2 linked regions of the Arabidopsis thaliana genome follow. The protein of the gene in region 1 interacts with the protein of each later gene in a pairwise test. Each region holds a gene or a part of one and is shown on either strand. Other genes may lie near its edges.

What was found.
Region 2: the proteins of NF-YB8 (region 1) and NF-YC5 interact in a two-hybrid assay, tested with the Arabidopsis thaliana proteins (one large-scale study listed by BioGRID).

The regions. Positions count from the first base shown.
Region 1 is NC_003071.7:15,573,062-15,579,335, reverse strand, and holds NF-YB8 (nuclear factor Y, subunit B8), read right to left. Parts: upstream 3,341-6,274; 5' UTR 3,172-3,340; intron 3,025-3,171; 5' UTR 3,001-3,024; coding exon 2,774-3,000; intron 2,521-2,773; coding exon 2,391-2,520; intron 2,267-2,390; coding exon 2,261-2,266; intron 2,115-2,260; coding exon 2,040-2,114; intron 1,917-2,039; coding exon 1,875-1,916; intron 1,718-1,874; coding exon 1,676-1,717; 3' UTR 1,420-1,675; downstream 1-1,419. Other genes in the region: AT2G37070 (TRIO/F-actin-binding protein), read right to left, coding at 173-379, 463-630, 789-921; AT2G37050 (Leucine-rich repeat protein kinase family protein), read right to left, coding at 5,859-6,200. UniProt on the Arabidopsis thaliana protein: Component of the NF-Y/HAP transcription factor complex. The NF-Y complex stimulates the transcription of various genes by recognizing and binding to a CCAAT motif in promoters.
Region 2 is NC_003076.8:20,559,934-20,564,270, reverse strand, and holds NF-YC5 (nuclear factor Y, subunit C5), read left to right. Parts: upstream 1-3,042; 5' UTR 3,043-3,100; coding exon 3,101-3,661; 3' UTR 3,662-3,837; downstream 3,838-4,337. Other genes in the region: AT5G50500 (uncharacterized protein), read left to right, coding at 1,714-2,121. UniProt on the Arabidopsis thaliana protein: Stimulates the transcription of various genes by recognizing and binding to a CCAAT motif in promoters.

The DNA.
Region 1 (6,274 bases):
CAACAAGATCTTACTAGTGACCAAAAGCACAACAACTTGCTAGAAATAAGATATCATGTTCAATAAAAAAAAAAACCATTCTGCTAAACTAAAGCTCTTTCTACACCAAAACAATAGACAGAGATGCAAATAAACAGAACCTTATAAATCCGCTTATGGAAACAAAGCTTACTTGGGCTAGGTACTGCCTCTGTTGATCCCAAGTCCTTACGCTTGTCAGGTGTTGCAGCATCACACATAAAAAATTCCTGACCAGTCTCCACAGTGCAGTCACTTTTCAATGTAGACATAGACTCTGTTGATCTATGCAAATCCTCTTGAACCGCTGGTAAACTTTTCCTCCCCATCATGCTAGACAGTTCATCCGGTTCCAAAACACCTAAATGCGCCAACTTATCTCAGCAAAACTAACTACTACTAAATAACAAATCCACAGAACACAGCCACTAAAAAAATACTTGCCTGCATTGGTGAAAAAGGCTTTGTCCCAAGCAAGACTTTTGCGTAGGTTAGTCTTCATGATCTTATGAGGCTCCTTCTCTTCTAAAGTAGTAGAGCCCAAAGTCTCTTCATCACAACAATTATGTGTATCTCCAAATAAACAAAGACCTCTGTCTTCCTTATCAGTATCTGAATCCATCATCATCATAAAAAAATCTAATCAAGCTTTAAAAAATCTATAAATCCCCACAATGAACAATCATGAACCAAATCACACAATTCACAAGTTTCCCAGGAAAATCTTCAGCTAACAATTTCCAGAAATTGGAGATGGAAATTGAAATAACCTGAGAAATCAAAGGTGGTGGGATCGAGAAAGGAAGAGAGGAGGAGGTTATCATCCTCGGCGGAGAAATCAATCAGACTAAGCCCATTGATATCGTCGAGCTCGCTTCTCCAGTTCTCCTTCTCTTCTCCCATAGACAAACCACACAGATTCAATAAGAAGAAAAATCAAACAAGCTTTATCGCATAAAAGATGAAAGAATTTGAAACGAAGCAAATCGGCGGTTTCTTATTTATTAATATTTAATCAATTTTCTTTGTTAATTTTTGAGTTTTTTTTTTTGTCTTAAGTCTTTTGACAGAAGTGAGCCCGAAATGAACGTGATCCGTTGATTTGTAAATTTGTGACCGTTGGATTATTCCCGTTTTTTTTGTAGAAACGATATGTTAAAAAAGAATCTCTAATTTGGTTTAACAGATAACGCCGCGATTACAACAACTGTAACCAAATAAACAACAATAAGCATCTAATTTTGCTTTCGTTACTACTAAAAGACTAAAGATAATGCAGGCGATATAAACATAAAATCTAGGGTTCTTACTATTTTAGGTAAGGGTTGTTTAACAGATTCTGGATCTTACTACGTTATCGATGGTGAACATTTTCCAAATAAGTATTCATTTGTTCTCATTCTTGTATGAAATCTTTGTTAAAATCAGAATTCATTCTTTAGACCGGTGTTGAAATAATCAACAAACCAAATATATAAATAGACTGACTGACTTGATGACATATTCAGAACAAATCCAAGGAAACAAAAACAAAACAAAACAATGAGATGATTATAGTCACAAGTTCTGCATAGCAAAACTCTTACAACACAAATAATATACAGATAAGATAACCTCTTTTGGTGGAACATAACCAAAGTTGAATACTCCTCTCATACTAGTCTGTTCCCGGCATTGGAACCATCATATGCTGCTGAGCCTACAATTATACCGAGTCCAATGTCAAATTAGTTCACAGATTTTGAGGTATTCATAGATTATAACATAAGTGATGCTTTACAAGTTTTCAATTCTTAACAAATTAGAAGAGAATGATGCGTATTGCTTGAGTGTGAAGAGAAGAGAGGAAAAGTTACTTGAGAGTTCCCATAAGGACCTTGGTGAGCAAGCTGCGAGAACTGCCAAATGGTAAACAAACCCCATGAATGTCAGACTAACTTAGCTAAAGCGGAAGAGAGAATACGTGCAGATGAATGCGAAGACGAAAAAATGGTCAAAGGCATGAGATTTGAGACATATACCTGGCCATTTTGGCTTGATTGCCCATCTTTCTTTGCATTTGGATCCCCACCTTTTGCTGATCCCTTTGTGTCACCCTATTGATCATTGAAAAGGATAAGGAAAGCATAAATAGTTTGATACATAAGTTGACAAAAAGAGATGATTCACGGAAGCCATAAAGATCATAGATCGTTGCAAGTTTTAGGAATGAACAAGAAATAGAATAAGAAGAACCACTGACCTCCATCTGTGATATTCCAGTTCACGTAGTAGAGCAAGAAAAGGAAAAGGAGAAACAGAGTAAGTTAGTGAAATTCAAAAACTCTCTTCACACAACAGCATAACTAATAAACATCGTACTCAGAACATACCTCTCTATATCTCATCAGGTAAACCTTGAGAGGTTCCATGTAGTCTTCAAATCCTAAAGTAGCCATTGCCCAAAGCAAATCATCTCCATTAATAGTCTTCCTTTTCTCTCTTTGACATTTATCACTCGCTCTGCTCATCAACGTCATAGAAAAACCATTGCATCATCAAATATGCAACATCAAAGCCAAACAAAGATGAACAACAAGAAAGAGTAACCAATGTAAGGACTAAAAAGGCCTCAACTTTCACTAGTTAAGAAAAACCCAAAAATCACTATAAAGTTTAAGACTTGAAACTAAAACTCAAAGTTCCTATCAAGCCTCTAAACATTCAGCAAGAGCAAACACAACATAGCATTGTTAAAAGGTTAAAAAAGACATACTCGCTGGTGACGAAACTGATGAATTCAGAGACACATTCCTGCACAATCTCCTTAGCATCTTTAGCGATTTTCCCATTAGCAGGAAGACCTCTTTTCATGATACGGCTTATGTTAGCAATCGGAAGAAACCTATCTTGCTCACGAACATGTAACGACCTGGGACTTTGATCTCCACCACTCTCATGGCTTCCACAGCCTCCGGGACTCTTGGCCTGCGACTCCGCCATCTCAGAAAGAAAAAAAAACCCTAACTTTACAACAATTAACACAAAATAGACAAAACCCATCAACAGAAAACGAAGAAAATCAGAGACAAAACACATCCTAATAAGATATGAAAAGGGGAAAATTGAAATGAAGCAATGAATCAGAGAAGTTGAGAGAGAAGATTGATTTACCAGAAGAATTCGAAAAAGGGCGGGAGTGAAACAGAGAGGTGTTTGTTGATTGGAGGAAGAGAGGAGGCAGAGAGGGAGAGAGATCGAGAGAAGAGGAGAGATTGATCGGACGCTTGAGAAAAGAAGAGAGATGACAACGTCTGCGATTGAGAGATTAGGTTTTCACTTTTATCAGCACCGTTCGTTTTTTTTTTAATCTCTTTATTTATTTTCTCTCTGGTTCATATTCTACCAAATCCAGAAACGCCACGTGTATTCATTATCTTTAACCATTAAGGGGAACTTTATTATTATTCAATCCCTTTATATAAGTTTACTTTTATTCATTTTTATTAAATTTTGATTTTTGATACATTTTCTTATTGTATAGTAGGGAAAGTAATTTTTTTTTTTCGAAAACTTATTAGGGTTTTAAAAGTTATTTAAGAATTCAATTAACTATAAACATTTTAAAATTTACAAATTTTCCTAAAATACAAGAAATAGGTAAAATCTATAAACAATTACGAAAATATTTGTGATCATTTTAATATTTTTAAAACTTCTACTATTTTATGAAAATAAACAGAAAACAATAATTTAGAGAGAGGAAATGTATCTGAGTCATATTAAAATATTTAGTTTCTTAATACACAAGCTAAGTACATATATCTTTCAAATATAACTATTTTCCTTGTAAAAAATGCATCTATATCAAACACACTTAAGGCAATAACTAAAGTCTTCTTTTCTCACTTCTTTACCAGCTTCATTTTTGTTAATCATATTTATCAAAGTTAATTAATTATTTTTATATATAGGTATTACGTTTTGGATATTAACATTATATATATATTAAAAAAATTTAACTACCAAAATTATGTTTTGATTGATAACACAATAATGACACTAACACAATTTACTAGATTACACATTATAATCAACCTATTTTTTGTAGGGCATATTTTTGTTCTAAATTATTTTTTAAGTTTTGCTTTAATTTTGCTTAATTTATTATTAAACTTTAAACATTGATTTTTTTTATATGTATAATATTTTTTAAAAATATTAAAGCATATTTTTCGCCTATGACATCAAAATTAGCACGGCTCTAGACACCAGTAGCAAAATAGGCATATGCACCGAATCAAAGTATCAGCTCTGCTCTTATGTTACCTCATGTTTCTTCTTCCGCTCAATGAAAACAACTACAGATCGCGAGGCGGATTATAGCGGATTCGGCCGATAGGCTTCCCTCCTTGTAATATGTATGTCGGCCATCCTGTGGTTTCAAGGTTCTCGGGAGCAGCCTCAGTAGTCTCTACGAAGAGATTATTGTAACCTGCGGAAGCTGAAGATACAAGACACTGGATGAAGTCAATATCACCTTCGATGTTGTTAGAGATGAGGATAATATTGGATTCTGTAGGATAGTCCACAGGAGTGTCCATTTCCCACAAAAGAACGTCTACATGTATGACATATGGAAGAAAGAGATCTTACTGGAGAAATCTTCACTCATGGTTTCGACTGAGATCACGATATAGAATTGGGAGAGAAGAAAAGAAAAACATAGAGCAAAACGGAGAACGCGTGCATAAACAAAGATAAAATAAAAAATAGATCACGCAGTAATATTGTCGACACCTTGTGAGCTTACGCTTTGGTCCATAGGCGGCTTTCCTCCATCTAATAGGCTTGTACAATCAGATACTGAGCTTGAAGTAGGAAACACCTTTTCTGTATCATGAGGCTGTACCAAGAGAACATTGGACTCCACTTTCTCAGTATCAGTATCATGTACCAAGAGACCATTGGACTCCACTTTCTCAGTATCAGTATCCTGTACCAAGAGAACATTGGACTCTTCTTTCTCAGTATCTGTATAGTCAGTATCAGTTTCCCAGCTAGTACAAGAAGAAGTATAGTCAACAATTTCTTCTATAGGCTTTTCTCCATTTAAAAACCTTGTACATTCAGATATGGACTCTGGAGTATGAAATAGCTTTTCTAATGGGGCCTCATCATCAGGCTGTACCAAGAGAACATTGATCAAACTTCTCGATTCCAAAGCCCAAAGAACCCTGATCGGCCTCCTTGTTTTCAAGGTTTTTTTTTTGAGATTACCAACATATTTTTTGGCTTATAAGCACTGAGAAAAACATCCCATATCATTAAATCAATGTTTTAAAAAAAATATAGTTATAGATTATAGTGTTTAAATTCATGTTCTATAATTTTAGCGTAAATTTTTTAGAATAACATGTATTTATCAGAATTATGTTTTCAAAACGTAAAATAAAAGTGTACACCATTCAAGCCCTTTATTAACCTACTGTATCATGAGAAGTAACTCGTGGGTTTGGTTTGACCACTACTAACACAACTGCGCCTGAATCTCGAATGTGTCAATAACCTATAGAACTTATTTCTACGAGAGCATAAACATCATCCTATATAATCAGTTGAAAATGTGAAAATCAGTTAAAAGAAAACATAATATATCACAATCCCACATAAATCACCGAGTTAGTCTGAAAACAATAAAAGAAAAACAAACAAACTCGAAGCACTTCTTGTAACCTCGAGTCCAAAAGAAAGAAAAAAAAGTAGTGTTAAGCTCAAAACTAATAACTAAAGACCAGAGACAATGTGAAAGGTCAAAAACACAAGCAAGTAATGCATCTGTACAAACAAAGCCGAATCTACTACCGAGCTGTTGGCTGCAATACTGATTCATCAATGGATACATAACTCTGTGATCCAGCCAGGTCAAGCATTCCCATGTTGAGCGAAGACGAATGAGCCGAGCTCCTGGAAAACTCGTCTGATATACCGCCTCTTGCAGCCAACGCTTCCTTCTCGATCCTAATCGCGTCTTGGATATCTTTTTGCACCTCGGACATCGAAGGTCTCATGTTCCCGTGCGGTTTCACACACAGCAACGCTTTCTCCGCAATCTTCCACATTGATTGGAGACTGTAATCATCTTCCGCTAGCGCTGGATCGATGATCCCTCGGATGTCCCCGTTGTCTATATGCATCTTAGCCTACAAAAACCGTTACCAAGCGATAATTTATAAACCGTTATGATTCCATATTACATATATCCAAACAAAGCGTA
Region 2 (4,337 bases), on another chromosome or scaffold:
TGCACATATAAGCGACAAAAGGCAATATTTTGGCTCTTTATGCAAATTGGTCACATGATATTTTAACTCCCCAAGAAGTTGTGGACAAGTATGAAGTGCCTCAAGATTTCAATGAAAAAGAATGTTTGACGATTGTGACTTAAAAATAAAGTTGTAAGTTGTAAATCCCATGAGTTTAACAAGCGGCACAACCGTCACAGCTCACTCTTCCTCAAAATCTTGAAGCACTTCTACCATTTCATACTTGTTCATTTCTTCTAAAGAAGTTGAAATATTCCAAGATAGTGACCAGTTTGCATAAAGAGCCAAAATATTGCATTTTTTAGGATATATGTGCATTATCCTTTGTTACCTATTGTCCACATCAACTCTATGTGAGAACGAGTTGAGAGAGTCGTTGCTTATATGTTTCCCAATTGAGAAGCATCCACTCATCCTGTAATACCCTGAATCAATCTACTTCTTCAATAAACCCACATATCCATTTTTCTCACCACTAAGCCAATATATACTCAACTTGAAAGGTTCTTGAGAGACAACCTTATGGACCAATGCATACCACCGTCGCCATCAAAATCTAAGGACATACCCAAGGAAAGAACTATTCAGGTTCTCACATCAAGTTGCTTTTCAGTTGCTTATAGGTAAAGGAGGTGAAAATGATCCAGAAGGTCATCCATTTCCATTTTGCTCTTCCTTTTGCTCTTTCTTTCCGCTATTGATCATCCTTTTCCATCTTATCTTCGTCAAAATAGTGCCACAAGATCTTTCAAAATAGACAAATTGATTGGAAAATTAAAATTCCTAAAATTGCAACAATATAAGTTCTAATTTTGTAACAATGCTGAAACAATTTCTCCAAATATTTTTTTTTGTATAAATGTTACATTTAGTCATCAAAAAAACCATGTTTACATTATACGCAACCTTGTTCTTTGAGAGTAGACCATAACTATTTTAGAAGATAGATAATGGTTGAACAAAAATAGAAAAATAAAACCCACAACTAGATTTTTTATTTTTTTTTGTTAATTCCCACCACTAGATTTTGTACGACGAATATTTTAACATAGACACTACCTAATACTTAAAGCAACTAATATAGAACAGGTAATGAAATTCAACAATACCAAAAAGATGATTGAGGAACGGAGATTGACGGTGCTTAACAGAGTCGAGAGCTTTGATGATCTCTCCTTTATAACTCAAACATCTCCTCGTAGTGCGAGGGTTTAATGACGATTAGAGTCGCATGAGAAAATTGTTATCTCTTTTCATTGGCAACACTCAAAATCAAAAGCCGAACGAATACTAGTCTTGTGTTACACTCTCAGACCCAAACAAAAGAAGAAGAGAGAAGAGAGGAATTTTGATGTTTGTGATCTTATGAAGAGAAGGAGAAGACAATGACTTGACTTACATAGCCCAAGCTCAACGTATATATATTCATGAGGTGATCTCACCTTAACGAAAATTTATGAGATTTTGATTCTCACAACAATGTCAAAAACGTTTTCTGACCTTAATTGTCATAACTGATTTTTTGTTGTTGTTACAAAACTCTATCATTAAGGTAGATATTTTTTATTGGTTGTAAGCCCATTTCCCAACTCTCAAATCTCAAACCCAACCCATGTATGTTTGGATTTCTCCTCTTACTTACTGTATATTATATACCAAGGCAGCTATTTTGGACCTTCATTTCTCATTCAAATGATAACTTCATTTTTGACATTCCAATGCACCACCACGGTCCGCGTAGTGCTTGCAACAATGATTCTATTGTGCCGAAAAACCGGTCATTCCGATGAACGTCTTCACCGGAAAAGTGGCCACAACCACTTCATCAAAAACAAGTTCCAACACCCGCGCAAAGCTTCCTGCATGAGTTGTTTGTTTAGGAGTAGTACTCTTTTAACAAGTTTTATGGATTCCTTATCTAAGACTTCGAGATCTGATCTTAAGGGGAAACGATATCTTTGGTTTTTGAATTTCAAGATTGATATTTATCGAACTTTGTGCAAAAACCATCTATCTCTTTCCACCATTTATGTTTTCGAACCAATGCACTTCAAAGCCTATTTGGGAAAATCTCAAGTCTATAGATGTGATAAGACTTGAGATTTCGCCAAATAGGCTTTGAAGTGCATTGGTTCGAAAGGCTACGAGTATAATCAAACTGAGTATTGAAAGGTGTGTTTCCTCTTCTCCACACAAGAGTTTTGGTGCTACTGAGGAGTGATGAAACTGATAATGTGGTTATGGAGGAGTAATGCAGTAATATCTTGAAGAAGGAGGCGCCAAAATAAAACGGCTACTCTTGTTTAACTCCAAACTGTTCACTTTTTGGAACAATCCAACTCCAAACTGGTCACTTTTTATTTAAATTTAATATTTTGTTTGACAAAATTTACTAACATATTTATTAATGATCTCTCTTTTATTTTGCAGTTAAACATCAAAATGTGAGATTCTCTCTTGAGTGTCTACCTCCTCATGTTAACAAATCAAATAATTAGAGAAATAACCAAAATTTAACTTTTAGAGGGACTACAGGATTTGTACTTTGTACATTCATATATTATTGTTATATATCGTTTCATACATTAATTTGAACCAATGTAAATTAAGTAAAATTCAATTTAACATCATGAGCAAATTCTTATTAAAATTCTCTTAAAATTTTGAGCAAATTATGCTTTCACATTTAACATTTGAAAACATCATTTTTAACAAGATATTCAAAACTAAGTTTTGTACAGCAAAATTTTAACTTTCAATTTTATAGAGAAAAAGGTATTTTTTTTTTTGTTTCATTTTTATAAGACTATTATTTGGTATATAATATACACTTTAAGTAAAAACAAATCTCTTTCTTTTTTCTTCTTATAATACCAACCACAAGTCTGTCAGTCACACACATACAGTTAATAACATTAAATATTCTTAACAAACTACTAAATAGGTTGAGATTCATATATGTAAAGAGATCACTTCTTAATCTTATCCTACCATATCTTATATACGCTTAATTTTCCTTTATATATGCAAACCTCCACATAAAAATATCTCAAACCCAAACACTTCAAACAAAAAAAAAATGGAGAACAACAACAACAACCACCAACAGCCACCGAAAGATAACGAGCAACTAAAGAGTTTCTGGTCAAAGGGGATGGAAGGTGACTTGAATGTCAAGAATCACGAGTTCCCCATCTCTCGTATCAAGAGGATAATGAAGTTTGATCCGGATGTGAGTATGATCGCTGCTGAGGCTCCAAATCTCTTATCTAAGGCTTGTGAAATGTTTGTCATGGACCTCACGATGCGTTCATGGCTCCATGCTCAAGAGAGCAACCGACTCACGATACGGAAATCTGATGTTGATGCCGTAGTGTCTCAAACCGTCATCTTTGATTTCTTGCGTGATGATGTCCCTAAGGACGAGGGAGAGCCCGTTGTCGCCGCTGCTGATCCTGTGGACGATGTTGCTGATCATGTGGCTGTGCCAGATCTTAACAATGAAGAACTGCCGCCGGGAACGGTGATAGGAACTCCGGTTTGTTACGGTTTAGGAATACACGCGCCACACCCGCAGATGCCTGGAGCTTGGACCGAGGAGGATGCGACTGGGGCAAATGGAGGAAACGGTGGGAATTAATATTTGGATTGGGTTTTGTAACCGCTGTTGTGAGAACTTGAATTTCTTTTTGAGTTCTGCTTATGTTTTCAATGTTATGTTTTTTAGTTGTTGAATGTATTTCTGTTGTTTTGTCCAAAAAAAAAAAAGAATGTATTTCTGTTGTTGTCTTTCAAATGAATCTAATGGTTTATGAATATTGGCTTTAGATTAATTTATGCATACAAAAACACAAGGATTACGGATAAAAAAGTCCTCAGTTTACCCATGGAAACATAATCTTCTAGTGATTCCTTATGAGAGTAGAAAAGAATCATATATTATAATCTATTTCATAAGAGATAGGGTACTGTAAACAAGGATGTTTATTCGGCTATTTCTTTTTTTTTTAATCACTTTTACTTGTCAAGACTCTTTTGTGTTTGCAGCTTTTTGTTAGATTACATTCTAGAGGCAACAAGATCCAGAGATCTAGCAAAAAAAACTTATTTTGAAACCTGAATCTATTTTAAAAATTTTCCAACTCATTTTTCGTTCTTATTCTTTGTTTTCCAACGGAATTTGGCGCACAAACGATTTATTTGAATTTTGTCTTTCAAGAAATTTTAGCGCGGTTTTAGCGAACTCTTATGAGGAAGTTATTAATTGAATTATTTTTGTTTTTGTTTTTTCTAATTATCATTTCTATATATTTCTC